4 linked regions of the Alligator mississippiensis genome follow. The protein of the gene in region 1 binds, or shares a complex with, the protein of each later gene. Links are inferred from orthologs where the notes say so. Each region holds a gene or a part of one and is shown on either strand. Other genes may lie near its edges. The genes, in order: EFCAB2, IQCD, CCDC153 and GAS8.

Region 1 (7,302 bases):
ATATTAAAGAAAGCAGAAAGCAGAACCAGTGCCCATGGAATCTCAGGACCGGACTAAGATCTGCAGTGTAAATGACCTAATTTGACCATGAGTGAAACCTCAACTCAGCCATTGCAAACAGGAATATGAATTAAAATGGGTTTCAACAATTTGCTTTTACATGTCAGTTCTGCAGCCTATGCTTTAAAGCGAGAAAACAGGCCTGAGAGGGAGAACAAACTTAAAGCCCTTAACCTGCTAAGAAGCACAAGGTAGAAGCCTCTGTGAAATCACTGGCTTGCTGGTTTGACATCAAGGCATAAAAAGCAGTCTCAGCTACTCCTGCTGTCTTTGGCTACTGTGAGGTCTGAAACCCCTGATAAACAGCAGTGACAAGCAATTGTTGTTTATAACAATACAAGATTTCACATATAATGATTGTGGTTTGGATATAAGACCCTAAATAAAGCGTAGAATAGGATTATGCAAGGCATATTTAGACTAATGTGGTAAGCACCCCATAATAAAAGCACATCCAATTTGTTCAGGAGTTCTAAGGGACTTGTCCCTTTTAATGAGATGACCAGGGGAAAATAAAATCGTCAATACCAATTCCAGGTAAAGATGAGTAATGGTGAGTGAAAGTCTACAACTGGGACTATGAAAGAAGGCAATGGGAATGTCCTGCTGTTAGTTTTGAAATAGAATTCTTTCTGTTCCTTAGTTTCAAACATAACTGACCCACAACAGAAACTTGACTGAGAGTAGGTTTTCACTTCAATGGTAAGACCTCTATAATTAAGATGAAACAAGGTTTGACTGAGGTAAAGATGTACTGCTTGGAACTCTTCTTCTAAGTTCCCTTCTTTCCTCTATTTAGCCACTGTCCCCAACCCACATCCCTCAACAGCTTCAACAGGAGCAGGTTCACACTCTCCTGAAGTTTAGGTCAGCTCACCTAAGTGCTTCCAAATGATTCATAATCATTCAAAAGGATGTAGTATTTTGTTCAGAGTATACAATGTTGTCCTGATAGACTAGTGATGTATTCTTTGAAGTTTCTCATACCTTTTTTCTTCTGTGCCATGTTTGATAACATGGAAAATGAGAAAAATTGGCATAAGGGACATCACTGAACTGCTGCTCCTTCCTGTAAGTATCAAAGGCTACAAAAAAAGTAATTTGTTTTACTAAGCAGAGGTCCTGTTCTGAATGTTCTGTTATTTTGCTGCATAACTGTACGTGTCTGTTGAGAGAAGTAGCCACTTCTGCTTTGCTGCATTTAAACATCACACAAAGTAGTATAGTTGGCTAGACCAACAAGGGTCTAAGAAATGTCATAATAGGTGAAATATTGGAACAGTTGCATTTCATCAAACCCTTGACTGAAACGTTTAACACTCTGAAATAACAAACATAATACTCTCAATGTAGCTCAATTTGATTCCATTATCTTTGTATTTCTCAACTTTCACAGCTGCTTTTGAGCCTGAAAAACCATGGATGGCAAACATGTCTGCGAAATTTACAGTCAAAATTAAAGTAGGGATTTCCCTTGAATGCCAATGGACGCATTTAGTTGTTTGTCCTTCACAAGCAAAGGTGACCGCATCCAGCGGACGGGGGGGGAAGAGGGTCAATGCTGAAACTCTTTAGGGACAGACCTTTAGGGTGTCCCTGTACCGCTTCTTTGGTGCACCGCAAAAGCGTACTCCATTTGACATTTCATCGTAAAAGATTTTCTTCAGCAGCCAAGTGTTGGGGATTCTTAAAAGATGGCCGGCCTATCTTAGCTGTCCCAGTTTCAGGAGGTTGTGGATACTGGGGAGAGCTGATCTTCTGAGCACCTCAGTGTCTGGAATCTTGTCTTGCCACTTGATCTTTAGTACCTTTCACAGGCAGCACAGGTGGAAGCGGTTTAGTTTCTTGGCATGACACTGGTAGATAGTCCAGCTTTTGCAGGCATAATGGAGGGTCAGGAGAATGATGGCTTTGTAAAACTTGTTTCGTTGACATGCCAATGCCTCTGTGGTCCCAGACCGATTTACGGAGTCTGCCGAAAGCCACGCTGGCTTTTGCTAGCCTTGCGTTGACTTTATTTTTGATGTGGACAGCACAGGAGAGCATACTGCCTAGATAGGCAAACTTGTTGATCATTGACAGTTGTGGCCTTTAACTGAGACGTGTTGTTCCTGGGGTATTGTGCCAGGAAAACGCTGAAATATCACTTCGGTCTCCTTCGTGTCGATAGTGAGTCAGAAGTTGTCGCAGGCTGATAAGAATAGGTCCATGGACCGCTGCATGTCAGCCTGTGAGCCTGCGCATAATGCACAGTCAACATCAAAGAGGAAGTCACAAAGCGTGGCTATCTGGACTTTGGAGTTCACTTGGAGTCTGCGTAGGTTGAAGATGTCTCAGTTGAAACAGTACCTGATCCCCATACCAAGGTCATCATCTTGCAAGGCATCCAACAGCATTACATAGAATACCATGCTGAAAAGGGTAGGCGTGCACACACAGCCCTGCTTGACGCCATTTGTGAATGGAAAGGGGTCAGAGCATTCACAAGGATGTGTGCGCCATCATGCCATTGTTGAACTGTCGAACCATACTGATGAATTTTCCAGGGCATCTGTACCTCATGATTTCCCAGAGGCCTTCACGGTTCACTGTGTCAAAGGCTTTGGCTAGGTCGATTAATGTGAGAAGGTAGATGTTCTGTTCTTGGCACTTTTCTTGAAGCTTTGCCAGACTATAAACACCGTGTCAGTGGTTCCTCATCATTTTCTGAAGCCACGTCGACTCTCAGGTTGTTTAAATGGTCAGTCAGCGGGTTGAGGATTCTCACAAGAATCTTGACAGCAGTTGAGAGGAGGGAGATTCCCTTGCGGTTGTCAGAGTTGACGATTTCCCTTCCTCTTGTACAGGTAAATGATGGAGGCATCCTTGAATTTTTGAGGGACTACCTCCTGTGCCCACATACTGCAGATCTTGGTTTGTTTCTTCGTGAGGCTGTGACCACCTTTTGTAGACCTCTGCTGGAATCGCATCAGGTGTACTTAATGTTTTAGCTATAGTTTGGTGTCTTTTCAAGAACAAAAAGTTTCTCGCATACATGTGGATTTCTTTAACTGGTGGCAAAAAACTATCATGTTCAAAACAAAACACTTTATAATATAAAATAGGATGTTTTATAGTACTCCTTTTCTCTTCCATTCAGCCTTCAAACAGACAATATATGGCAGGAGGGTATAGTAGTGTTTGCAAAGAGCAGGCTGATTTTTATTATTATTATGGTGGCATTGCTGATATTTAAATCAGCACAGTAAAATGATGGCAACAGCTGAATCCCTGGGTTTGGGATTCAGAATCAGAATGCAGCTAGGCACCTGAAACTTCTCCATGGAAAATAACTTGCCACGTTCTAACTTTTGTATCTTGTCCTGTATTCCCTTAAGGTAGGCAGAGCGCAGGGTAGAATCTGAGATACATCAGCATCTGTAAGCAGTGGCTTGCTTTAGAGGCCAAGGTAGGTCCTGAACTGGACTGTAACTAGTCTACACAAGACTTGTACCACATGTGATGAAGTAAGTTACAGCTGGGGAAACCATGCGCTCTCCCTCTCTCTAGCACACATTTTATGTGTGTGTGTATACCTATCTATCTATATAGGTATCTATAAGATATATTATACACACGCATATTGATATATATCTATAAAGATATACACATACATTTATATATCTATAGATTATAACATATAACTATCGATATATATCTACATCTACATTTATCTATATATAAATGTATGTTTGTATTTATACACATATAGATATATTTATATATACACATTGATATTTATTTAGACACACACACATATATCTAGATCATATATACACACACACACATATACACGAAGTATTGATATAGAGCTATCTATCTATAGATATATCTATATCTGCATATCTCTATCTATATGGAACAGGCCCTGGGAACCCCTGAACACATTGGATGCGCATCCATTACAGACTGCCTATCACCTACCATTGAACAGGCCTTAAGTTATGCATGTGTGCATGCGTATACACCAGCACACACATATCATGCGAGGCCTGTTTAGCTGAACATCTATATGCAGGTGCATGCACGTATACATATACATCGAGTAGGGTTAGTCTGTGAGCTGCGACTACACCCTGGTGTCTGCCGCGGCCCAGCTTGCAAGGAGCGCGGTTTCTCTCTCCCCAACCGGAGGGCGGGTGGCGCGGCCAGGGGAGATCCCGGGGGAGGGGCATGGCCGTCATCCCCGCAGTTAGCTCCAACTGCGCTGGGGGTGGAATCCGGAGGTCGGTCCCCGGCGGCGGCGCAGGCTCACCAGGCCGCGCCCGGCCCGCGGGACGGAACCGCCGTTGGGGAGGGGGAGACGGTTGAACTGCCCCCCGCCTGGGGGCGTGCGCAGGCCTCCCCCTCGGCCGGGCGCGCCTCTGCGCTGCCATGGCGACAGTTAGGGGCGGCCATGGCGGAAGAGAAGGAGGGAGCCACCGCGGGTAAGAGCCCGGCACGGCCCCGGCCCCACCTCCACCCGCCGGAGGGGCCCCAGAGGGGCCCCAACGGCGCCCGAGGGCCCTGTCCCCTCCGGAATAAGCACACGCGCGCCCATTTTTTTCCCCCTGCTCCCCAGCGGACGCTGCCTTGCGCGCGGCCGCGCTCGCTCTGCGCATGCGCGTGAGGGCGGTGGGCAGGGGCGGCGTTGCCCGGGCCAGTCCCGCCCCCGCGTTCAGGGAGCGAGGCGGGGCTGCGCGGCCTCCAGAGCCGAGCGGGGGCCAGGGGCTCGAGGGGCTCCGGCCCCTCCCCCACGCCAGGGCTGCCCGGCCCTGTCCAACCCCCAACGGAGCCGTTGCTACGTCAGCGCCCGCGAGGGGCGGGGCCGGGCGCTGATAAAGGCGCGCGCTGTGGCCGGAGGCGCCCTTATTTAGGCCTGTTATGCTGTAGTATCCCATGTGTGTGGCGCAGGTCCCTGAGGACAGGGTTGCTAGGTGTGCTGGGGTTATCACATTTATACAATACTTTCCATTGCAGCCTTTGTAGGATTAATGGGGATCTTGATTTTCTCTGATTAAAAAAAATTCCCAATTTTCGGTTAAAAAAAAGAAACCCCAAATCCACATTTTTCTGTGATTAAAATGAGGGATGCGGATAACCTGGAGAGGGTTCAGAGAAGGGCCGCTCTACGCTTAAGGGCCTGCAGACCAAGCCCTACGAGGAGAGACTAGAGAAACTGGATCTTTTCAGCCTCTGCAAGAGAAGGTTGAGAGGCGACCTTGTGGCTGCCTATAAGTTCATCATGGGGGCACAGAAGGGTATTGGTGAGTATTTATTCACCAAGGCGCCCCCGGGGGTTACAAGAAACAATGGCCACAAGCTAGCAGAGAGCAAATTTAGACTGGACATTAGGAAGAACTTCACAGTTCGAGTGGCCAAGGTCTGGAACGGGCTCCCAAGGGAGGTGGTGCTCTCCCCTACCCTGGGGGTCTTCAAGAGGAGGTTAGATGAGTATCTAGCAGGGGTCATCTAGACCCAGCACTCTTTCCTGCCTATGCAGGGGGTCGGACTCGATGTTCTATTGAGGTCCCTTCTGACCCTAACATTTGTGAAACATCACTATAGATAGATAGATAGAGGTATCTACCTACCTATCTATATATTAGTGGTATTAGTCAGGGGTTGAATGATACTTTGGCTCTTGGGGTGTCTGCAAAAAAAAAAAAAAAAATTAAACTGGTTCATTGATTAACAAGTCCACCTAGGTGAAGGAGCAATCTGGATCAGGGACTCTCTCCCCACCCCACCCCCCCTTATGATTTTTCAAATCTTACAGGGGTTCTCCCCTCTCATGGGAGGGGGGGGGTGCTCAGCCCTTCTCCCCCCCAGCTCCCCATTAATTCACACACTGCTTATAGTGAGCAACATAAAGTAAATGAGAAGACTTATTTGCCTACCTACTTGCGTACTCATTGGGATGATTTTTCAGTGTACAATACTTGCTGAAAAACTCTGGTAATATTGAGCTTCCAATACAATAATTTCATATTTCAGACTTGGCAACACTGCCTGGGGACTCGGGCAGTATGTCATTAGCTCCCTCCTCCATCTCCGGGAATTACCACACACAAGACTGGTGAATTGGGCAATACATTTGGACCAGCAGCTCATGTCAGGGCATCCAAAGATGAGGGAAGCACATGCTGCACTGTTGTCACCACTTTGCTTTTCTTCACATAATCTTTCTCAAACATTGCATGGTGCGGAAAGGAGCCTGCAGCACACTCAGGATTGTTCCACATGAACTTCACGTGTGACAAGTTCGGAAGGGAGCATCAGTCAGGAACTGGGCTCTGTGGCCTCACCCACGATGTGGTAAAGCAGGCTGATGCCTCACTTGCCACAATCCTATTGTCTTGTAAGACGGACAGATGTCTACTACTCCCGCTTTTCCTTCTTGCCACAGAGACCTGTACCAGTGTCCAGTGCTGCTCATTTGTAGGCTCCAAATGTTAGCTGTCCAGTCAGCTCATTAGTGACCAATGTCATGTGCAGGTGCTTAACGGGGATGAGAAATCATGAGGTAGTGCAGTTGTCCAGAAACACTTGTGGAGAGCTGTGAGGAAAAGTTTGAGGCTGACATTGCAGACATTCCTAAAGCACTCAGTATTATAAGGCTTAGGCATCTGAAGGAAGTTACGAAACAATAATTACCTCAATTCAAAATGTTTTTCTTACATACGTTAAGCTTTATGGTCTTTATAACAGCATTGTTAAATTTAGGGTTTCTTTTCAAGAACACAACTTGTCATTGACAATCCTTCAATTTGAGGATGATCTCTACCATGGCTCGCTGATGGGTCTTGCCATAACTTAAGAGTCCAAACCTTGAGCCACAGATCCATAATTTCTGTGAATTGAGTGGCATCCCATTCCAAAAACATCATTTCTCCTCCTTGCTGAGGAGCCAGGCAGGGACCACCCTGAGCCTGCACTTAACTGCTTATCTCCTCACACCTTGCTTATCTTCTTGCACTTGGGGGCACCCTTGAAAAGATCTCTTGGCACCTCAGGGTGCTGTGGCATCCTGGATAAGAATCCCGGCTAGGGCCACTTCATTGCAAAAATTTCAGGGGAATACTAAAAAAATATTGCATCGAATAACATAGCAGTAAGATTTTTTGTTCATCCTGATTTCTAATGGTAACACATTCCATAACTGAGAGCCTTCAACAAATTAGAATCAAAGTGTCAGCCAAAGTAGCCCTGATGAATGCAGCT
Region 2 (7,929 bases), on another chromosome or scaffold:
ATACTAAATAAAGTCAACTGTGCATTTCAATTCCATAGCATTAAACAAAATGCTTAGATGCATGAATCGAGGTAGATGTCATGTACTTGGATTTTAAGAAGGCCTTTGATATGGTATCTCACTCTAGTTTCACAGATTTACGTTACAGCCATTCAGTTTATGATTACACGGTCAGGTGGGTGGCAAACTGGCTTAGGGGTCACACTCAGAGTGGTGGTGGATGGTTCAATATTGACCTGGGAAGATGTGAGCAGTGGAGTCCCACAAGGCTCAGTCCTTGGACTGGTGCTGTTCAATGTCTTCATCAGTAACTTGGATGAGAGCATGGAAAGCACTCTGTCCAAATTTGCAGATGATACCAAATTATGTGATAAAGTTAACACATTAGAGGGTACGGAACAAATCCAAGCGGATCCAGACAGGTTGGAAAACTGGGCGGAGCTGAACAGGATGCAGTTCAACAAGGACAAATGCAAGGTGCTGCACCTAGGGAGAAGGAATCACCAGCATGCTTACAGGCTGGGGAGGTTCTCAGCAGCGGAAAGGGATCTCGGAGTCATTGTTGGCACCAAAATGAACATGAGTCGTCAATGAGATAAAGCGATCAGTAAAGCTAACCGCACTTTATTATGCATTGGCAGGTGCATGATGGACAGGTCCAGGGAGGTGATACTTCCTCTTTATGCGGCATTGGTCAGGCTGTAGTTGGAATACCGCGTCCAGTTTCGGGTGCCGCACTTCAAGAGGGATGCAGACAACCTCAAGAGGGTTCAGAGGAGGGCCACTCGTATGGTTAGGGGCCTGAAGATTAAGGGCCCTGGATCTCTTCAGCTTCTGCAAGAGAAGGCTGAGAGGTAATCTTGCGGCCACCTACAAATTCTTCCGGGGGGGGGGGGGGGCAACAAGGAAGAGATGCTCTGTTAACCAGGTCACCCCTTGGAGTAACTAGAAACAACAGCCACAAACTGACAGAGAGCAGATTTAGGTTAGACATCAGGAAGAACTTCTTCATGGTAAGGGTTGCCAGAATCTGGAATGGGCTTCCAAGAGAGGTGGTGTTCTCCCCTACCTTTGGGGTCTTTAAGAGGAGGCATGCACTAGGGGTGTGCAAAATGGGCCCTATTCAATATGGATTCAGCCCAAATAGGGGACAGTGATTTGATTTGCTGATTCTGATCACTATCCCCGATTCAATTCAACTGAATCAAAATCTCGGAATTAGCATTGAATCTTCAAAATCAGCTTTAAATGTTTTTTCTACATACCTTGAGGTACCAGGTGCAGCTTGTGAACACTGCGAGCCGAGGCAGATGGAGTTTCCCACAGGAGCATGACGCCCCCCCTCCCCGTGCTCGGCGGTGAACCCAGAAGTGGACCAGAAGCACTTCCAGTCCACTTCCAGGTCTGCTGGGAAGCGCGCTGTCCCCGCCCCCCCATGCCCGCTTGGCTTGGCAATCGGCCACAGAAGGACCCCGGGTGCTCCCCCAGACCCAGGAGTCACCAATCGCCAAGCTGAGGGGGGCCCCCCCCAGCATGCTCTCCGGCAGACCCAGAGGTCAACCAGAAGTGCTTCTGGTCCACTTCCAGGTCTGCTGCCGAGTGAGCTGGGGAGCCCCTCCTGCACTCCTGTGGGACCCTCCATGTGCCCCAGTATTGCAACACTGATGAACTGCCTGCTACCTAGAGGTATGTAGAAAAAACATTTAAAGCTGTGTCTATGTCCAAATCGCTGAACCTCTCCAAATCAATTCAGAGGGTTCCGATTCGATTCAGAGAAATTAAAGGGTCCTCCGATTTGATTCAGATTTGGGGATTTGGCCGCCAAATCTGCACCAAATTGAATCACGCCCTGAGCAGCCGCCCACTCTTTGCAGCCCCAGGATTGGTGCTGAGCTGGCAGGGCTCCCTGCACCCCCATGCAGCTAGGCCCCACCCGCGCTCCCAGAGACTTTGCAGCCAATTTCGACCTGGTTAGGCATGAGATACGCCAGAAGGAAAAATCCAGAGACTTGAGAGTTTGAGGTGAGACTTGAGATGCAAGATCATGAGTCGAACTTAATTTTACTTAGACATTGCAACTCTCGCGATAATTTTACGAGAGCTGGCATTACTGTAAAAGACACACAACAGAACAGAGAGGTTTATACATCAAATCACCAAATTTGACCACCCAAATTATCCAGTAAAGTCACAGAATGCTGGGGGACTAATATTAATACTCTGAATGATATCTAAGCAGAAAAACATATTACATTACCAGAAGCAGCTAACAGACAGCAGAATTGCAGAAGGAAGGCTAGCTCAATTAGCTTGCAAATAAAGAACTTTTTCTGCAAGCATCTAGTTGGTCTAATAAAAGATATCACCTCTACCACGCGTTCTGATTCCTTTTGCCTCTAGACCAATACAGCTACAACCTGGATACCTGTCACATGGAAGATATTGAATTTTAGCCTATTTTAAAAATTAAATCTTCATAATTTTACAAGGAGGAAGTTTTACCACCTGAAACCTGAGACCCTGCTCCTGCCATTGTTTGAGATAATTTGTATCATCACAGAGCCCAGCTTACCACAAAAGAAATTCTTGCTCAGAAGAGCATGCCATCTTTTTACTCTTCTGTGAAATATGAAACATCATAAGTCAGAAGGAAATATGACTCTACATCCTACTTGCCAAAACTTGGAGGTAAGCAGACAACTCCAACTTTTCTCTGAGCCTAATCTACATAAAATGAACTGTTTCAAACAGGAGATTTTACCACACCTTCAACTCTCCTATGAAATATGAACTTTTATTTCTACCTAGAAGCACTTTTACAGTCTTTTCTCCTATACCTGAAGAAGGGTGCTTGTGCTAAAAGTGACAAGTATGCTGAAAGTTTACAAATAAAGACATTTTTGCAAACATCTAATAAAGAATATCCCCTCTACCATTAGTTCTGATCTTTTTGCCTCTACAGCAGTGATTCCTAAACTGACAGATTGCACATCACCAGTGTAAAAATGATACAACCTTAAGTACCACCAGAACATTTTTGTCATATAAAGTAATTATAATAAATTTGTTAAAGCAGACCACGGACAGGCTGTTGGAATACCAGTGGTGGTATACGTACCACAGGTTGGGAACTGCTGCTCTAGAGCAATACGGCTACAACTTAGATACCTAGTTTAATTAGTGGAACATCAAGACCATTAGAAAAAAGAAAGAGTCCGTTAACATCTGTGGAATCAAGAGATTAGAAGGACTTGGGTAGATATGAATTAGCCATGAAGTCAAGTGACTCCCTCAGCACTGCTGCCACTAGAAATGCTGCTGCCACTTTCAGGCAACTAGTTTTAAATTTGGGGGTGGGGAACAGGAATCAAAGGGATTTGCGACTGCATCCGTGCACCCCCCGTGGGTCTCCCCCCACTTGTGCGTGTGTGCATACACATACACACTGCAGACTCAGGTCACAATGATATATACAGAAATGTGCGTGTGCATATAAACACACAGGACTCCTAGGAGAAATGATCTCTTTTATTAGACCAACAAGATTTTGGCAAAAAAAGTGTCTTTAACTGCAAGCTTTCAGCCACAAACACCCTTCATCAGGCATTGGAGAAAAGATTGTAGACATTCTCCTGGGTAGAAATGAAAGTTCATATTTCATAGGATTTCACAGAGGAGTCAATAGATGGAAAACTCCTCTGGGCAGTCAGCTCATAGCTGGTCTGGAGCCTCTCCCCTCCTGTGAGGATCTGCGATGATGCAAATTACCTCGCAAGCTTGCAATTAAAGATTTTTTTTTGCAAAAATCTTGTTGGTCCAACACAAGATATCATCTCTACTATGAGTCCTGATTGCCTTTTCCCCCAGACTAATAGGGCTACAACCTGGATGCCTACAGACATGCGCATACACGCATACGGACACACCCCCCTATGGGTATATAATCATCTGTGCCCCGAGTGTGCAATGCCGCCGTTCCCATCCCTCGCTTTCACTTCCAGAAAACCAACACCGACGTCTCCCGATAACTTCATGGTCAGCCGCCTGCCCCGCCCGGACGCAGCACCGCCACTCGTCACGCCAGGCAGCGCCGCGCGCGCGAGCACCTCCTCGCGGGAAGCGGCGCCGCACTCCGCCACCCGCCGCCCCGCCGGGCGCCTGCGAGGAGGTCCCCACTCCGCACAAACGCGCTCAGGAAAGCGCCATCTCCAAGCCCCGGGCTCCGGACTGCGGCACCCGGCCCCTCTCTTGCACACACGCAGAGGCCGGGGCACAAGGTGCGCCCGCGCCCGCCCCCGACGCGACGCGACGCGACGGGACGGGACGGCAGCTTACTGTGGTCGGGCGGCCCGTCCCCGGCCGGCGCGGCGCTGGGGGCCGCGGGGCCGCCACCGTCCTCCAGGGTGAGGATGAGGGGCACGTCGTCGTCCGGGCTGCCGGCCATGCCCCCCGCGGCCGCGCTCAGCGCTGCGGGCCCCGAGCGCCGCCCGCGCAGGCTGCCGCCACCGCCACCGCCGCCCGGGGCATGTCGAGGCAGGCGCGGAGCGGCCGCCCGCCGCCAGGGGGCCCCCGCGCTCACGTGAGCCCAGGGGGCGCCTTGCGCCCGCCGCCGCCGCCTCGCGCCCCGCGCATGGCCCCCGCCCGGCCCCTCTCCGCCCGGCGCCTAGCCTCAGCCTGCCCCAGCCCGCCCCCCTGCAACACCCATTGGCTGATGCCCGCAAGCCGCTGGCTGATAGGCTCTCGGCGACTGCCGGCTCGCCAATCCCCGTGCGGCATCTTCTCTGCTCCCGGAGGTGGTCAATCTGGGTTCCTCCGCCCCCCCATCCCGTATTGGCCTTCCATTGGCTGCAGGTCGCGCTCATCATAAGAAGCCGGCGTCTCCCATTGCCTAGGGAGTCCGGTCCCGCCTCCCGGTGAAGAACGAGGCGAGCCGTTGGGCGCGCCGTCCCCTAGCAACCCAGCGACGCCCATGGCGGCCGCGGTGCGGCGGCAGCGCGGGCAGATGCCGGAGGCCGCCGCGGAGGCGGAGGCAAAGGCGGAGGCCGGGCCGCGGCGGGGCACCATGGAGACGCGGCGCGTGATCGCGGTGCTGGACCAGACCATCGCGCGCGCGGAGCACGTCAGCCTCCTGCCGCACGTGATCGCCAACCTGCGCGACCTGTCCCGCGCGCTCGGGCCCACGCTCAGCCGCGCCCTGGCGGAGCACGACGCGCTGCGCCGCGCGGGCGGCCCCGGCCGGAGCCTGCAGCGCTCGGGGCGCTGCATCACGCGGCTGCTGCAGGCGCAGCCCGGCGCCGCCCAGGCCGTGCGCGACGAGGTGTACGCCCGCGACCTCACGGACGAGCTGTTCGTGCGGGCCCTGACCGAGTTCCGCGGCTTCCTGCTGGAGCGGCTGCTGACCGGCCCGCGGGAGGAGGAGGCCCGCGCGCGGCTGGCGGCCGACGTGTCGCTGCGGGACCAGCGCAACACCGAGGCCGTGGCGGTCCTGCGCGCGGATCTGGCCGCCGCCCTCCACAGGCGCGACGAGGAGGTGCGGGGCCGGCTCGGGCTCGGGCTCAGGCTCGGGCAGAGGAGTGGACGGCACAGACCTCCCTGCCTCTGCCCCGGGGGAAACGGCCCCTCAGGAGCAAAATAGCTCCCTGCAGAGCGTCTCTGGGGGGCCTCCACCGTCCCAGGGTGCTTTGCTTCCGGCCCCGCGAGCGCTCGGGGCTGGACGATAAACGGCGCAGCGCCGAGGCTGCTGTCCCAGGGCCCTAGATGCCGCAGACTTGCTGCTTGACCTGGGCCGGCCTCTGTTAAGGGACTGATGTTCAGTTTCTCCAGGGAGAGTCTCTGTTCTCTACCAGGAGTGTACACAAGTTTGTAATTCTTTTTTTTTTCTTTTCCCCAGAGTAAAAGTGGCTGCTCTGGGACAGGAATAACTTGGGGACAGCCCGAGGGAAATGGCTCCCAGGAGACGGCACTTATGTACGGGCAGCCAGTGTGCTTTGCTGCTTTTCCGTCCCCCTCCCAACCAAGCAGGGGGCAGAACACGCCCCCTGAGTGCTTCAGGCTGAACAAGCCCAGCCATGAAGCACTTGGGAGGCATGTTGTGCTCCTGGCTTGTTCTCTGCCTGAATTGAACTGCAGCACTTGAATGCAGGCAAGCATAGAAGCAGATTTTCTTGGCTAAGGGGAGGGTGGCAGGGGAGGCTGAAGGACTCTTCTATGCAGGGCATAAAGTCCCTGCCCCTACTTTTTCCTGACCCTGCCGATCCCTTCACTTAAGGAAAAAAAGCCAGCTAACTTCTCTCCTGGACTGCGTGCTCTAGGGCCCCCTGGCTGCCAGCATCATCGCTGCAAGCTTTTTGCTTCTATGAAAATCTGTACAGGTCATTTTTTTCCAATCAGGAAAACAAACCTGGGAGAACTGGCTAGCAGCACACCGGGGCACTGCCAGGAAACTGGTTAACCACAAAGCTAATCCACCCATTGCCTCTCATAAAGGGGAGGTTGCTGGAGCTTACAAGGCCCCTGGTATATGTTATATAATACAATTTCCTGCTGAATCGCACAAAAAATGTAGACCATCCACATGTGAACTAAGGGTCACGAAATGAAATGAGAGAGTAGTAAGTTGAAAATGAACAAAAGGAAGTTCTTTGTCACATAGTGGGCACATATACACATGTGCATTTAATGTGCAGTATATAAGGCACATTCAGGGGGCGCATCTAGACGTGCGCCCCTTAACGCACCTAAAAATGGTGATGTGGGGATATTCAAACCTAAATTTGATACCTGCATAAAGTGGGTATCAAATTTATACATGAATAGCTAAGTCGCATTAGCGAACGCAAAGACATGCTAATGCGCATTAATGCGGTGTGTACCTATTGACTTGGGACTAACTTTAGTCCCAAGTCGGTCCACACACCCACGTTAACGCGCCTTAGCAAATGCATGTGTAGACACGCACCTAAATCACCTTAATGTGTATTAAGCTAATGCACATTCAGTTTAGGTGTGCATAAAAGCACATGTAGACATGCCCAGTGTGTAATTAAAGTGTGGAACTCATTGCCACCATATGCGGAAGCTGACAGTTGAGCCAGATTCAAAAAGGGACTGGACAAATTCTTGGAGGAAAGGGGCATCAGTAGCTCGAGCACAAGAGTCAGGGTTACAGCCTCTGAATAAGAACTTCCTAGATCTTAAATTTTGGAGTCTGCAAATGGGAGAGGAACAGTGGGAAAAAAACTGGTCATACCCGGACAGACAAGGTACTTTGGCTAAATGTGGTATCTTTTATTAGACCAAGTAAATAGTTGGAAAAATTGTTCTTTACAAGCTTTTGGTACAAACACCCTTCTTCAGGCACAGGGAGGGTCTGCTGGTGTTTGTGTACTCTCCTGGGTGGAATAGAAGCATAAGCCAATATGCAAAATGCAGGTCTGTGAAAATGCAAATGTGTGGCAGGGAAGATCAGAGGGATAGCAGTTGAGAGGTACAAGACAGGTATGGAGGGGGAGGGGGCAGGGAAGAGGGGAATGTTGCCCTGGTGATAGAATATAGCTGGTAAAATGTAGAGAGTTACCTGGGGTTATCAGATGGCAGGCTAAATATAGACATTGGATTTATGGCACATTATAACCTGCATGACATCCGATAACCCCAGGTAACCTCTACATTTTACCAGCTATAGTCTGTCACCAGGTCAACATTCCCCACACCCCATACCTGTCTTACACCTGTTAACTCCCATCCCTCTAATCTTTCCAGCCACGCATTTGCATTTTCACAGACCTGCATTTTGCATATCGGCTTAAGCTTCTGTTGTACCCAGGAGAGTACACAAACACCAGCAGACTCTCCCTGTGCCTGAAGAAGGGTGTTTGTGCCCAAAAGCTTGTAAAGAACAATTTTTCCAACTATTTACTTGGTCTAATA
Region 3 (6,945 bases), on another chromosome or scaffold:
ATTTACATCATTGCCAGTTTTAAGTATTGCTTTTTAAAATGTATTTTAAATCTGGCTGGATTTAAATGCACGTGAAATATTGACCGGTTGCCATTTGTGCAGTTGCAGAGTCCCCATGAGGGGGATCCCTGGACCTTCCCAATGAGCTGTGTCCCGATTGCTTTGGGGTGGGAAGAGGAGGGACTCACCCGGGGGTTCATGCCTTCCCCCCTCCAGTCTCTGACTTGAAGGAGATGAAATAAATCCCTGCCCAAGAGCATGAAAGCCGAGACCAGCTAGGATCAGCCCCGAAGCTGCTGGTTTCCATGAACTCCCAGGAAGGGTCCCCAGGCCTGTGCTTACAGTGCGACAAGTGTCTGCGGCATTGGAGGATAAATCCTCTTTTTCTCAGAAACCGGCAGCAAGGTGAAATCTCTCGCTCTACAGCAAAGCCAGTTTGCCACAGACAACGAGCAGGAGACTGAGACTGTCAGTGCATCTGCCATACTGTGCAATGGCAGATACACCCACTGCAAAAGTCATCTCCCCAAATTAAGCTCCCAGACAGCCTGTGAAGGCCCCTAATGAAGGGCTGTGCAGGAGCCCCCGGGGGTGTGGGAATATGGGTCCAAGCTAAGAGCTGGGCTGGAACAGCACTGCAGCACTGGGGAAATTCAACACGCGGGGAGCTGCTGGCCACGGCACGCATCCCGGGGTAGTTTCTCATCCGCTGGGTGCACAGGTGGGATGTTCATATAGGAATGAGGTTAGTGAGGCCCTTGGGCTTGTCTGTTTTGGCACTGAGGAGGATTTTGACCGTGTGGCTTCTCACACAGCGCAGTCTGCCCATAGACCCCAGATTGCCCCATCAGAAAGCGAGTTGGAGAGCTGATTAAACGGCATCTATGTGAAGACCATGAAATGGGAAGAAGGTTAAGCCCCCAAATGTAAATTTGCAGTTGTACAAAATGGATTTAAATAAAGAGGATATTTTTAACTGTGATTTTTACCACCCGGGCCCTCTCCTGCCTGTTGCAAGGGGGGAAATGGCTGAGCATAATGCATGCTCCATCCCAGCAAAATCCTCCATGCCCAGTTCCTGCTGCAGTGAAGCCCCATTGGCACGGAGGGCTGCTGCCAGTGCCCAGAGCCCTCCAAGACAGGAGGTGCAGGGGACATGCAGACCAAGGACCTCAAGGCAAACATCTGCCCAATTGTTCCACTGGGTCCTTCACATGCATGCCAATCTGTCAGGAGCCTAGTTTCCAGGCTGAGCATCCATTCATTTGCCACCTGTGCATGTATTTCAAAGGGGCTCCTGCCAAGACCTGAGGGAAGAGGTTTGTTTGCAATTATAGTGGTGGGGGGAAGACTCGGTCCCAGATCAAAACACCCTCACACTTTTTGGCACATCAACAAATGATGGTAAAACTGGTTTAGAAGCAAGTGGAGGATTTGTTCGAGCTTTTTATTTAGCATTACTATCAATGGACCCTACTCAAAGTGACGTACATGTAGGAGGGATATGTGAAGTCGACAAAAATAACCAATGTCTTTTGTTTAAAACATCTCAAATATATATGTGTGTGTGTGTGTGTGTATCTATATCTATCTATATATTTTTTTTTTTGAGAGGAGGTATTTTCCCTTTTTTTTTTTCTTTCTTGAAAAACAGTTCAGGGAAAGCAAAACAAATCAGGGCAACATCCCCATTGAGCCAAATCACCACTTTTTAACACAAAAGGATTCATCAGAGAGATTTCTGCCTGTTCACACCGAATGCCCCAGTATAAAACCCGGCTGCTGCTGGTTTGGCAATCCCCTGCGTGCTCCGGTTCCTCTATGAAGGCAACAGAGCTAGCACTCAAGAAGGGATTTGCTGCTTCTTCAACCCAGCTCCTTGACCGCGGTTGCTTCATTAGTAGCCTCCCATCCCTCCCCCAGGGTTGCTCAGCTGCGAGCAGATTATTGTACAGATGTTGCAAAACAGGAGCAGTTCCCTATTTTGAAAAGCCAGGTTCCTTTTTCTATGCATCAAAAATTTCCAATTAAAAAAAAATCCGGAAGTGGAGCCAGGCCGATGGCATTATCCTCCAGGGGCCGAGCGCACTGGGACTGACAGAGCTCGCTTGGCTTTGGAAAACTGTTGACTGAAGAAGGCATCTTCCATCATGGCACAGATCCTGTGCCTTCAGGCCTTGGGCTTGCTGGTGTGGTCCTCCCTCTCCTCATCCAGTTGGGTGGGGCATTCAGGGGAATTCTTCACAACACTTTCTGCCTGCCCTGGCCCTGACCTGATGCGGGGTAGGTACTTAGTCAGGCTGTCCTTAGCTGGGGAACAGGACTGCCCTGGCCAGAAAGAGTCGTGGGAGCATGTCTCCACTGCCCCAGCATGGGACATGTAGTTAAGCTCTCCTGAGAGGCAGGCTTTGCATAAAATCAGCGACCAAGACCCACAGAGAGGACCTGCTGCTTCCCGCAGAGCCATAGTGGGGTACTATAATCATGCCTTGCAAGAGCCTTTCCTGCTTGGTGCATGGGGCTGGACCTGACGATCTCCCAAGGTCCCTTCTGGCCTTACAGTTGATGAATCTATGAATCAGTGTGCTCCTGAAGCCTGAGGAAGTGCCAAGAGGGCAGCAAAGACACAGCGCCAGGAGACATTAGCAGCAACAGATGAGTCTGGGGTCTCATCTCACACACCCTTTCTCCCCATGTGGAGCCCCATCTGCCTTCATGCAGCTCCTCTTCTGTCCGGGAGAAAACCTGCTTGCTCCACGCAGCCCAGCACGGAGCTCCGAGCCTGCCATCCATCTCCCTCCAAATGCTGCAGCCAACAGCGAGGACGGCCAGCTAATAAAGCAGCTCAAGAACAATGTGCAGGAGCTTGTCGGTGTCCCTCGGGGTGTTTTGGTTGACAACGGTGCCAAAAGCAAAAGCCCTGCTGTAATTCATCTCTCTGCTTCCCCTGTTCCCTTCCCCCTCCATCAGGGGTGGCCTGAGCCTGCAAAACCACAGTACTGCGCACGCTAGAGGGAGATTGTGGAAGGAGAAAGGTGAAGAGCAGAGCTGTGGTGCCGTTGCCTTGGAGGAGGTTGAGTCACAAAATCCAGATCTAGACCCCTAGATTGAGATGTATGTATTTTTTAGTCCCGATCTGTTCTCATGCACGCAAAGCTCCCGGTGATTCGCTCACACACACGGGGCCTGCAACCAGTGCAAGCAGCCAGGCTCCTACACCAGCCAGGGGTCTGGCTCAAGTCGTCACCTAGGTGCTCCATGGAGTCCCACCCTCATCTGACACATGGGGAAACTGAGGCACAGAGGGAGAGCAGTCCACATAGGAGGGGAGGCAAAGCACATGCTCCCATCTCTGCCCTAAACAAGGCAGATTGCAGTGTGGGGAGGCGCCATCCACCTGGGAAAGAGCAGGTTGAAGACATCCCGACAGGTTTCAGGAAAAGGCGAAGGGAATCGGTCACACAGCAGGGCTCTGCATGACTGGCCCCACAGCCTGACCTCCCCAAGGGCAGGAGCAAGGCCTCCGTGGAGAAAACGTGACACACATAGAAAGCACGAGTCCACGTGCTTGCATGCGTGTGTGCACATGTGTATCTGAGCCTGGGAGCTGTTTCTGTGTGCATGTGTGTCACCCTCTGCCGCTCTGCATGTGTACGCGGGTCTCAGAGCAGGCGTGCGGCTGTGGGCTGCTCTCCCAACCCGTCTGACCCTGGCCCAGCTGCTGTGCTGCGATGCTGGGAGATGTCACAGCCTTCCCCCTTCCAGCATCTTGGATGCAAAGGACGTGGGATCTGCCAAGTCCTGCGCCTGCCTCAGACCCTGCAGCCCAGCCCCTGGCTGCCAAGCTTCCCCGGTCGCTATAGCAGCCAGCAGCCTGCTGCCTAGCAATGCAAAGCTGCCGGCTTTTCCCAGGCTGGGATAGGCTCCCCGACACCAGCCTGCTGTGCCTTCCCAGCTGATTGGCTTTCCCCACGCCATTCATGCCAGGCCAGTTACATTTCCTGCTGGAAATCTGCAGCCTCGCACGCAAGAAGCCCTTCACTTCCAGGTACTTGAGGTTTGGGGGAGATTCATTGGAAACGATCATCTACAAGCCTCTTCCCCTTGCAGAGCTGTTGCAGCATGTGGCTGGTTTTTGTGCGGCAAATGGAGAGGAATAGCAGAAGAACAGGAGGCTGGGAGGGATTGGGGGGGGCTATGGGCTGGGCAGGGGACATTGGGAGTCAGGATTTGTGGGGGGAGGGCTTGGGTTGATTTGGTTTGTTGGGTTCGCCGCCTTTGTTTTCTGTGCCTCAGTTTCCCCAGCTGTGGCATGGGCCCAGCAATCTCTGGGGGAGGTGTTGCCTGTTAGAGGGATGATGTGAGTGATGGATGGTGCGCTTTCCCCAGTGCCCCATGGCAGAGGACTGCTGGGGGTCTTGGTTACCTTCCGTGCTGCCCTGGGACGGTACAGCCCAGCTGCAAGCGTGGTCTGCCTCCGTTCCCTCCATGCCTGCAGCCCGTGCAGGAAATGCCAGGCTGAAGTGGCCTTCCCATCCGGCCTCTCCTCCATGCAGCATCACCTAGAAGCTCTGGGGGAGCCTCAATACCCCTTGCCCGTTTCTCCTCACAGACAAACCAGGAGCATGGCCCCCAAGGCCAAGGGCAAGGGGAAGAAAGGAGGGAGACAGAAGAAGAAGCAGCCTGCAGCAGGTGAGCGGGAATCCCATGCATGGGCAGAAACCTTCCCCAGGTCCTGCCCCCCAGGCTGCAGGGATGCACCATGTCCCTTCTCAGCTTCCCCCATCCCAAAGCAGCCCAGCCCCTCCTGGCTGATGAGAGGCAGCAGGCAGCTGGAGCCAGGGGCCAGGACAAGCTGCCGACCACCCTGTAGGAGCCCCGTGCCTCCCACTGGGGTGTAACCAGCATAAGCAGGGAAACCCAGTGCTGGGGGTATATGGGACACAGGCACCAGCACGTCCTGCTTGAAGCCAGTGCCATGTTCCCCATTTCCCAGGTGTGGTGTGGGTACAGAGCAGTTTTGAGATTAGCCCTGGACTGGCCCCGATAGGGCTGGGGGAGACCCCAGCTTCACATGGAAGCTATAGGAAAGCCAAGGCTTCTGGATCAGAGCCCTGGGGGACCCTGAACCCCTGCCCCACACACTTGAGCTTCCCCAGCCCAGGGAGGAGGTGTCCAATGCCCAACGATGCTCCGTCTTGCATGCGTGATTGTGCTCTGTCTATGCAGCAGGCGAAGCTGAGGAGTCCCGGAAGACAGCTCTGGAGGTGGACACCCTCAGGAGGCACCTGGGTAAGCCCCTGGCCTGGGTGGGCAGTGGGGACATGAGCCCTGCCAGGTGACAGGAGGGGCAGACTGTGGGCAGGGTGGTACAGACATCTCCCCATCTAGGACCATTGCCATGCACTGACCCGCAGCTGAGATGTGCCGCTGCGAGGTGGTGGAAGCCCTGGGGCACAGCAAGCCCAGGATGGTTGCAGGGATCCCCTCTGGCCACAGAGCTGGTGAACGCCTGCAGGAATTGGCCCAGGAGCAAGGAGCTGGGGCCAGGGCTGGGGCCAGGGACTCTCACAACCACAGCAGTTCCCTGCACCACTGGGAGCACTACTGGTCCCATGGTCGCCCAGCTGAGGGTCTTCACTGACACACACTGCAGCCCCGTAGGGTCCAAGCCAGCACCCACCCCCACGCCAGGAGGGGCCCGTGGCTGCGGTCCCCAGACCTGGGCTCCTGGCAGCTGTGCCGGGGTAATGCTGCCAGCTTCTGGCCAGGGTCAGCCGACAAGAAGAGAGCACAGGGCAGGGTCCTAACCTGCCTGTCACTTCCAGTGCTCCGGAGGGATGTGGCCAGGCAGGCGAAGGCGGACAGCGAGGGGCTGCAGCTGCGGCTGCAGGAGCTGGAGCAGGAGCTGGAGACAGCACGGGAGGACAAGAGGGACATTTATGAAGGTGGGTCAGAGCTGGTAGGCGTGCAGGGGACGCTGGGCTGGGTGCAGCAGGCTGGGAGCAGTGCCATGGGTTGCCCCATATTTCCTTTGGCTCCATTCCATGCAGGGCCCTGCAAGACGAGCAGTTCTGCCATCATCATGCCACCCTAGGCTACCCCCAGCCACCCCCACCTAGCTACAGAGCCCCCCATCCCTCCCTGCCCTGCAGAACTGCTCTAGCTCTGCCCGCCATGGGGTTTCACAGGCCCTGGGAGCTGGGGATGGTGTGCCACAGGCTTCCTGGGTGGCCACGGGCAAGTCCCTTAGTGGCCTGTGCACCCGGTGTATAAGTGACACAGCCAGGGACTTGACTCTGGCAGCCGGGCTCAGCCCTGTTCTCCCCGCAGAGATGATCCGGCAGTACCAGGAGCTGCAGCGGCAGACAGAGACTCGCATCCAGTGCCTGGAGGCCGAGGTGACACAGCTCCAGGAGCAGCTCGGTACAAATCCCCCCTCTCCCTGCCATGGTGGGCTCTTCTCCCTAGCAGCACCACCTTGCTAGGCATTGCCAGAGATGTCAGACTAGACCCTGTGCCCGATGTCCCAGCATGATCCATGGGCATCGATACTCCAGCTCATTCCAGTTCCCACAGTCTCCCCCACTCCAGCCACCCCTTACCTCCTGCAGCTGCTCAGCCCCCAGCCCTGCTCCTTCTCACCCCCATCCCCCTGCAGCCGTGTGCCGCCAGCAGAGCCAGCAGGCCCGGGAGGAGAGTGAGCGGACGCTGGGCGAGAAGGACCGGAGCCTCACCGAGCTGCAGGCCAAGATCGACACCATGAAGACTGAGTACGAGCAGATCCTGCACGTGAGTCACCCCGCAGGGCGGTGGCAATGAGATTGGACCCCCCAGGTGCCGGCAGAAAGGGCAGGGAAGCTCATGGAGTTCCCTGCTGCCTCCTGCTCCCAGACATGGGGAGAGGAGGGTGGTGACCTGCAGGCACAGAAGCTATGTGTATGG
Region 4 (7,863 bases), on another chromosome or scaffold:
TGCGGTCAGCCCCACTCCCAGCCCAGGCACGCTCACCACCAGGGGACTCGGCGACGTTCTCGTCGTCGGAGTCGGCAAAGACCTCAGCGAGCTCCTGGTCTGACATGTCCGTCAGCTCGGTCAGGTCCAGCAGGTCGAAGTGCACCTCCAGCGAGGACACGCTGCTCAGCGGCTCTGCGAAGGGTGCCCGGCTCAGATACAGGGCCAGCGTGACCCCCAGCACCCCCCACCCAGGCTCCCACAGCTGGGGGCCGGCACCAGGGCATGCAGGAGCCCCTCTTCCTTTTGGGCGGGGAGGGGCCTGACCGGGGCGTCTCATACTCACGTCTCCTCTCAGCCACCTGCAGCAGGCCCGAGCTGGGGATGGGGATGCCACCCTGCTCCTCGGCCGGGAGTTCCTCGCCTGGCCCAGGGGCTGGCACAGGCACCGGGATGGGGACGGCGGCCACTCGCTCTGGGGCTGGAGCCTCCCTAACAAGTTCTGCAAGAGCAAGCCCTGCTGCGTTAAAGCTGAGGCTGCGTCCGGGGGGCTACGTGGCAGGACCTCCTTGTCCGTCAAGCCCTGGTAGCAGCAGAGCCGGACTCCCCCTGGCTCCTCTGCCCAGGGCTGACCCAGCCCTGCTGAGAAGAGCCCTGAGCTCTGGGCAGGGGGCCTGGGGGAGCTCCCAGCAGCTGCCCCTGCTCCGCTCCAGCCCCAGCGCTTGGAGCAGCTGCCCCCTCCCCATGACAGCTTCTACCCTGGCCCCTTGTCACCCGCAGCGCCCTCCGTGAAAGCCAGGGATGCTCCAGGGCGAGGGTCCTGGTCACAGCTGCCGGCAGTGGGGCCGAGGCAGGCAGGGACCGTCTGTCTGCACCGGGGGCTGGGACTGGTGGGGCTCTGTAGCAGGCGGGGGAGCGAGCCCCCAGGCTGAGAGCAGCAGTGTCACCGAGGGACCCCTGGGGCAGGCCCAGGTGTGGCAGACAGGCCGGTGGGGGGATGCAGACGGGTACCAGGGCCCAGTGCTCATGGTGGGGACCCTGAGGCCACCGTGCCAGCCGCCAGCCATCCCCGCTGCTGGGCCTTTGTCCCCGCAGACAAAAGCGGAGCCTGTGCTGGGAGGCCGGGGACAAGGGGCGGCTTGTCTACGAGCATGGGAGATCGGGGGGCGCTGGGGCCAAGCCGGCTACGGCGTTGATGCTGCCCCCCACTCCCAGCCCCGCACACGGCTGCATGGGGCAGGGGGTCTCGCCGTGTGGCCGCAAAGGGGTGTGTGCAGTTGTGCACAGCCGGCGTGGCTCGGGAGGGGGAGGGGAGCGGAATATTTTTAGCAGCCCAGACGATGAATAATTCACAGCCCGGCTGCCGTTGCGGGCAGCTCCACGCGCAGCCGCCGGCGGCAGCGCAGACCCAACACCGGGGGCGGTTGGGTGCTCCCTGGCAGCGTGGCCTGGCCCGCGGGCCGCGGCCCTTGGCTCTCCAGGGGCATGCAGGGGAGCCAGTCCCGCCAGGTGCCAGCCTGGGCCTCTCCAGCACTGGCACCGTCGGGGTCTCAAGGGTCCAGCATCCTGGGCACGGACAAGGGCTGTAAGGCTGGGTTGTTACAGCTCCCTAAGGCATCTTTCAGCGTTCACGGTTTTATTCATGGGAAATCCTGATCCAGTTCTGGCTGCCGGCGCCTGGGAGCTTGGGGTCGGGGCCAGGCCGGCGCCAACACTGGACTCCTCATGTTTCTTTAACTCAAACACCTGAGCCGGAGAAAAACTGTCCGGGCAGCAAGCTCCCCACCTCTCCCGCGGGGGCCGCCCGATCCCTCCTGCTCTGCCACAGCCCCTGGCACCCCTGGGTGAGACGGGCTGGGCTGGGTCAGGCTCATGCCCACCAAGGCAACCTTTCAGGCCTTCCCTGACCATCTGCTCGCATGCTCTGTCCTGTTCTCTCGGGGCAGGACAGCAGTCCCCCAGGAGCAGCTGCCGGCCTGAGTGTGCCAGGAGGGCGATGGGGCACATGGGCAGGCCAGGAAATCCCGCTAGAGGCAAGGGGGAGCCTGGGGCAGGCACAGTGCAGTGGGTGCAGGGCAAGGAGAGGATTGACCCCCTCACTGGTGGCAGGGGGTCAAGTCTGGCTCCTGCTGGCTGGGATGCAGCCCCCTCCCCAGTCACTGGCTCAGAGCTCCTGGCAGGGGTGGGAGATGCGGACTTGGGGAGCAGACCTGGGAGCAAACGCTGCTGTGAGAGCCACAGCCATGGGGCCCCCTTCCCGCCGCCCGCTGTGCCCCAGCCCCTTGTGGCACAGTGTCCCCTGCTCTCCTGCCCCGGCCGGAGGAGCGGGGCGGGGATCTCTGCTGTCTCCTCTTTGCTGACTCACGTTCACCTGCAGTCGAGGGCAGAGGAGGGACCTGCGGTGGGACCGGACCGCCCGCCCCGCTGCCCACGCCCTTGCCTGGCTCTGCTGGGCCCCACTCCCCTACAGCCCCTCCTTGGCACCACGGCACGCCTGGGGGCCCCAACCCAGCAACACGCCCCTGCACCAGTGCAAGCAGCCTCCGGCCCAGGATGCGCCCCCCCCCCCCCACACACACAGCAGGGGGGCACCTGCCCACAGCACCCACCCCTGCCCTGCCCACAGGCACCCCCACCATGATGCCCCACACTGCCCCAGCTTGTAACCCACAGCCCGGGGGGACACCCTCCCCCCAGCATGCCCGCCTGCCTGCACACACCCCCCAGGGTGTTCTGCTCACACACCCACCACCAGGATACCCCCTGCTCACACACACCTCTGCACCCCTGTGTAACACCCCCCTCCACACACGTATCTGCACCCCTGTGCAACACACACACACACACACACACCAGGACAGTGCAACGCCACGTCCACACCCCACACGCATGCACGCAGAAGACCACACACACACGTCCACACCCCCTCGGGTGCCCCCTGATCACACCCCCCCGCACGCCCCCTGCCCCCGGATCCCCCTCTACACCCCGCACACCCAGCCAGCCCCTGGGACACCTCCGCACCCCGCCCCCGGCCGCCCCCCATACACGGGCCGGGCGCGGTGCGGTGCGGTGCGGTGCGGTGCGGGCAGCCCGGGGACGCCGCAACTTTCCTTGCTGGGGGGCGGCCCCGCACTCACCTGGGGGAGCGGCCCCGCCGCGCGGCTCCATGCGGCCGGGTGCGGGACCGGGCTGCGCTCCGCGCTCAGCAGCCCGCAGCGGCCCGCCCCGCCCCGCCCGGCCGGGGCCCCGGAGCGCGCAGCCCCGCATCGCCCGGCCAGCCCCGCCTCGCCAATGGGGGGGGTGCGGGCGGGCGGGGCGCGGGGCGGGCTGTGGGGAGGAGACAGGCGCCCGCCCCCCGCCCCGCATGCATGCCTCCTGCCCCCCCGCATGCATGTACCCCGCCCACCCCGCATGCATGCACCCTGCCCCCCGCCCCGCAAGCATACACCCCGGCCCCGCATGCATGCACCCCCGGGCACCGGTGCGGGCTGGGGGTTCCCTGCAAACAAAGCCGGCAGCCCAGCCAGACCCGGCGCGGGTGGTCCTAAGCCGGCCCCGCGCCCCCAGCCTCCTCGGGAGCCCGGGGTCCTCGGCGGGGTGGTGGGGGGAGGTAGGCCACCTGCTCCCCTCCCTTCCCCAGAGGCCCGATCCCCGGAGAGAAGGGCTCTGCCCGGCCGTGCTGGCACCAGGCAGTGAAGGGGTTAAGCCCCCCCTTGGGGTGCGGTCTCCAGGCCAAGGTCAAGGTGCTGGAGGATGGAGGCTGCAGGTGCTCCAGATGCAGGTGCCATGACAACAGGGCGCCATGGAAACGCCCAGCTCCCAGGGGACCCCAGCTCGGCGCTGCAGCTGCCAGGCTGCTCCCCAGCCATGCCAGGGCAGGAGTCCCTGGGAGCCTGCTTGCACCTGCCTGTGCGGGGCTCGGGGCCCAGATGGGGCGCCTTCTCAGGGGCCGGGGGCATGGCACACGGGGGCAGCACCGGGCAAAGGGGCATTTGCTGCTGACTGCAGCATGGGCATCAGGGCACTGCCGTGCTGCATCCGGGTGTGCAGCCCAGATGTGGGCTGTGGTTACCCTGAGCTCGGTGCTGGGCCCTGCAGGGCGTGAGACCAGCGCTCCTCTAGCAACCAGTCTGCATTTGTGCCCGCTGCCCTGGTGCGGAGCAGGCTGCGGGAGTCCAGCCGCCCCGCCAGCCCTGGGGCAGCGTCCCAAAGCCCATGCAACGCTGTCAGGGCAGCCTGGGCCGCCTCGCACAGGGCAGGAGGGCAGCCTAGGGCCCTGCATCGCAGGCGAAGCACGGGCTCCAGGGCCCCTGGATGTTACTGACTGGGCCCTTGCCCACCCCGCAGAGCTCCAGGCTGCTCCTTGCCCCTAGGGCCCTGACTGCCATCGCGGTGCAAGTGTCGGGCCTCTGGCAGGGCCTCAGCAGCGCCGGGGAGAGGCTGCAAGCTGAGCCCGGCCTGCGCTCCGCTCCGCTCCGCTCCTGGGGCTACGGGCAGCCTGATCCGGCCCAGGCGGCTCCTGCTGCTCCCTGCTCGGCTGCCCCGGCTGCCCTCTGCCCCCAGCTCCGTGCCCAGCGTCCTCTCTGCCCCGTGCTGGGGAGCCCAGCCAGCCACGTCCCTGCACCCCCAGCTCCCTCGGGCCTGTGTCCTGAGCTGGGGGGCCCATCCAGCCACACCCCTGCACCCTTACACCCCTACGGCCCGTGCCCCGTGCCAGGGGGCCCCATCCAGCCACATCCCTGCACCCCGAGACCTGGGGCGCTGCCCGGGCTCGGGCGGCGGGGCGGGGCGCGGGCGGCTGGTTGCTAGGGCGGTTGCCAGGCCCCGGCGGCGGTTGCCAGGGCCGCGCGCGGGTTGCTAGGGGCCCGCGGCTCTCTCTCGCGAGGCCGCCGCGGCGGTTGTCGGGACCGGGGGGGCCGCAGCTATGGTAGGGCCCGGCCCGGCCCGGCCGGCGGGCATGCAGCTCCGGGGCGCGGGCAGCCTGGCTGCAGGGGCCCCGGGGGCGGCTGAGTGTAGGGGGCTCCCGGCTGCGGGGAGCCTGCTGGGAGCGGGGGGCCTGGGTGCAGGCTGCGGGGCTTCTGGGGGGGCTCCCGGGTGCAGGCTGGTTGCAGGGGGCCTGGGTGCAGGGGAGGGGGGGCTCCTAGCTGGAGGTAGGAGGGCTTCTGGGGGAGGGGGCTTCCAGGTGCAAGCAGGGGGGTCTCCTGGGTGCAACAGGGCTGGGTGCAAGCTGGGGGTGGGGGGTTTCTGCGGGGCCTCCCGAATGCAAGCTGGGGGGTCTCCTGGGTGCAATCTGGGGGGCCCCTGGGTGCAAGCTGGGGGTGGGGGGTTTCTGCGGGGCCTCCCAGGTGCAAGCTGGGGGGTCTCCTGGGTGCAACGGGGCTGGGTACAAGCTGGGGGTGGGGAGTTTCTGCGGGGCCTCCCGAGTGCAAGCTGGGGGGGTCTCCTGGGTGCAACAGGGCTGGGTGCAAGCTGGGGGTGGGGGGTTTCTGCGGGGCCTCCCGAGTGCAAGCTGGGGGGTCTCCTAGGTGCAATCTGGGGGGCCCCTGGGTGCAAGCTGGGGGTGGGGGGTTTCTGCGGGGCCTCCCAGGTGCAAGCTGGGGGGTCTCCTGGGTGCAACGGGGCTGGGTGCAAGCTGGGGGTGGGGGGTTTCTGCGGGGCCTCCCGAGTGCAAGCTGGGGGGCCCCTGGGTGCTGGGTCAGGCTCGTCCCTGTCCCCAGGGCTGTGTGCTGGGCACAGCTCCAATACAACGGGGCTGCAGCTGCAGCAACATCCCCCCCAACCCTAACCCTAATACCCGCTGGCCCCTGGGACCGCGCAGGGCGGGGAGAGGCAGTCGGGGCCCCTCAGCTCTGCCCAGCAAAGGACCCCCGGCAGGGAGACACCCGCCGACATCTGCAGTCAGGACCCACCCCCCATCTACCGACTCGCAGAGACTTGAGCGCTGCTGCCTCCCCCGTGCACGCGGCTCAGCCCTGCGCGTTGTTCCCAGGCGCCCAAAAAGAAAGGCGGCAAGAAGGGCAAGGGGGGGAAGGCGGCGGCCGTGGTGGACGGCATGGCGCCCGAGGACATGAGCAAGGAGCAGGTGAGCTCCCTCCCCGCGTGCCCCGGGCCAGCCGGCAGCAAAGGGTGCTGACGAGCCTGGATACCGCTGCCCCCCCTGATGCCTCTTCCTGCCTGGGCCCCGCAGCTGGAGGAGCACATTGTGCGGCTGCGGGAGGAGCTGGACCGCGAGCGCGAGGAGCGCAACTACTTCCAGCTGGAGCGCGACAAGATCCACACCTTCTGGGACATCACGCGGCGGCAGCTGGATGAGAAGAAGGCCGAGCTGCGCAACAAGGACCGCGAGATGGAGGAGGCCGAGGAGCGGCACCAGGTGGAGATCAAGGTGAGTGGGACCTGGGGTGGGTGTTAGGGCTGCAGCGCCCGCTTGACTTGGGCATGTCCCCAGGTGCCCCCTGCTCCCAGCCTGTCCGGGGACTGACCCACCCGCCGCCCCCAGGTGTACAAGCAGAAGGTGAAGCACCTGCTGTACGAGCACCAGAACAACCTGACGGAGCTGCGGACCGAGGGCACTGTGTCCATGAAGCTGGCGCAGAAGGACCACCGGGCCCAGGAGCTGGAGCTGCGCCGGGACATGCGCTCCCTGAAGGTGGAGCTGAAGGAGCAGGAGCTGGCCAACGAGGTGGTGGTGAAAGGCCTGCGCATGGTATGTGGTGCCTAGCGGGGTGGGGAGAGGCCGAGCTCTGGGCTGCACGGTGTGGGGTGGATACCAGGATACCAACGATTAGCCCAGCCAAGGCTTTGTCTACCCAGCTCTTATAAACCTCCAAGGATGGAGAGTCCATCACCTCTCTGGGTACCCCGTTCCAGTGTTTTACTACCCTCCTAGTGAGAGTTTCCCTTAATATCCAACCTCAACTTCCCTTGCTGCAGCTGGAGCCCATTGCTCCTTGTCCTGTATCTGCCCCCACTGAGACCAGCCCAGCTCTGTCCTCTTTGCAGCCCCCCTGCAGGGAGGTGAAGGCTGCTATGAAGTCTTCCCTCCGTCTTCTCTTCTCCAGACTAAATCAGCCCAGTTCCCTCAGCCTCTCCTCACCAGTCCTGTCCCCCAGCCCCACAGCTATTTTCATTGCCCTCCACTGAACCCTCTCCAATTTGTCCACATCCTTTCTGTAGTGGGGGGCCCAAAACTGGCCCCTTCTTCATTCTGGGGCAGATGCGGTGGGTTTACCACTGCAGAGTCAGGTTCCAGGAACAGGCTGATGCATCAGCAGCCCCCTGTGCCAGCTCATGCAGCATGGGGAATCCAGCCCTTGCCACTGATGCTGAGGGGTGTAGAGGCAGCTGGCACGACCAGGGCCTGGCAGGTCCCATGCTCGCAGTCCCAGGGCTGCTCTGGGATGCAGGTGCACTGAGGCTGAACTGTTGAGGCCATGCCAGGCGAGAGCTGGAGACCTCCAGTCCCTGGTGGAAAGCAATAGGGCTGTGCAGCATCTAAGGAGGGAGCATCGGGCGTGGGGGACAGGGGGCATTGGGCAGGCACTGGGTGCCATGTATCCCAGGCACCCGCAAATGGTGCCTCCAGGGGAGGAGGGTGTGGGGGCTGCCTGGGGCAGCCAAGCTCCCTCTGTGCCCAGGGGCCTGATCTGACGTGCCACCTGCCCCCGGCAGAAGCAGGAGGAAGAGATCACACGCCTGCGCTGTGACTTCGAGAGACAAGTGAAAGGTCAGGCGGGCACAGCCCGTGCCCCTCACACTCGGCGCACAGCCCCTGGCTGGCTGCAGGCCCTTCCCCTCCCTCCCCTCCCTCCCAGCTGTAGGGCTGAGACCTGCTTGGTGCTGCCTCCCTGCCAGGAGCAGCTGGAGGGTGGGGGGCAGGCC

What was found.
Region 2: EFCAB2 (region 1) and IQCD share a complex: the UniProt entries of both Homo sapiens proteins name them as parts of the nexin-dynein regulatory complex. The link is inferred for Alligator mississippiensis from reciprocal best matches to the Homo sapiens genes DRC8 and DRC10.
Region 3: EFCAB2 (region 1) and CCDC153 share a complex: the UniProt entries of both Homo sapiens proteins name them as parts of the nexin-dynein regulatory complex. The link is inferred for Alligator mississippiensis from reciprocal best matches to the Homo sapiens genes DRC8 and DRC12.
Region 4: EFCAB2 (region 1) and GAS8 share a complex: the UniProt entries of both Homo sapiens proteins name them as parts of the nexin-dynein regulatory complex. The link is inferred for Alligator mississippiensis from reciprocal best matches to the Homo sapiens genes DRC8 and DRC4.

The regions. Positions count from the first base shown.
Region 1 is NC_081824.1:160,724,910-160,732,211, forward strand, and holds the start of EFCAB2 (dynein regulatory complex protein 8), read left to right. Parts: upstream 1-4,299; 5' UTR 4,300-4,495; coding exon of another isoform or gene 4,496-4,526; intron 4,527-7,302. UniProt on the Homo sapiens protein: Component of the nexin-dynein regulatory complex (N-DRC), a key regulator of ciliary/flagellar motility which maintains the alignment and integrity of the distal axoneme and regulates microtubule sliding in motile axonemes.
Region 2 is NC_081833.1:26,027,371-26,035,299, forward strand, and holds the start of IQCD (dynein regulatory complex protein 10), read left to right. Parts: upstream 1-4,926; 5' UTR 4,927-4,969; coding exon 4,970-5,530; intron 5,531-7,929. Other genes in the region: TPCN1 (two pore channel protein 1), read right to left, coding at 4,336-4,444. UniProt on the Homo sapiens protein: Component of the nexin-dynein regulatory complex (N-DRC), a key regulator of ciliary/flagellar motility which maintains the alignment and integrity of the distal axoneme and regulates microtubule sliding in motile axonemes.
Region 3 is NC_081839.1:31,192,249-31,199,193, forward strand, and holds the start of CCDC153 (coiled-coil domain-containing protein 153), read left to right. Parts: upstream 1-3,933; 5' UTR 3,934-3,980; coding exon 3,981-4,048; intron 4,049-4,612; coding exon 4,613-4,692; intron 4,693-5,229; coding exon 5,230-5,292; intron 5,293-5,828; coding exon 5,829-5,948; intron 5,949-6,333; coding exon 6,334-6,426; intron 6,427-6,661; coding exon 6,662-6,792; intron 6,793-6,945. UniProt on the Homo sapiens protein: Component of the nexin-dynein regulatory complex (N-DRC), a key regulator of ciliary/flagellar motility which maintains the alignment and integrity of the distal axoneme and regulates microtubule sliding in motile axonemes.
Region 4 is NC_081833.1:76,096,042-76,103,904, forward strand, and holds the start of GAS8 (dynein regulatory complex subunit 4), read left to right. Parts: upstream 1-4,851; 5' UTR 4,852-4,906; coding exon 4,907-4,909; intron 4,910-5,971; coding exon 5,972-6,064; intron 6,065-6,169; coding exon 6,170-6,367; intron 6,368-6,481; coding exon 6,482-6,688; intron 6,689-7,653; coding exon 7,654-7,708; intron 7,709-7,863. Other genes in the region: DBNDD1 (dysbindin domain-containing protein 1), read right to left, coding at 37-174, 326-481, 3,120-3,150. UniProt on the Homo sapiens protein: Component of the nexin-dynein regulatory complex (N-DRC), a key regulator of ciliary/flagellar motility which maintains the alignment and integrity of the distal axoneme and regulates microtubule sliding in motile axonemes.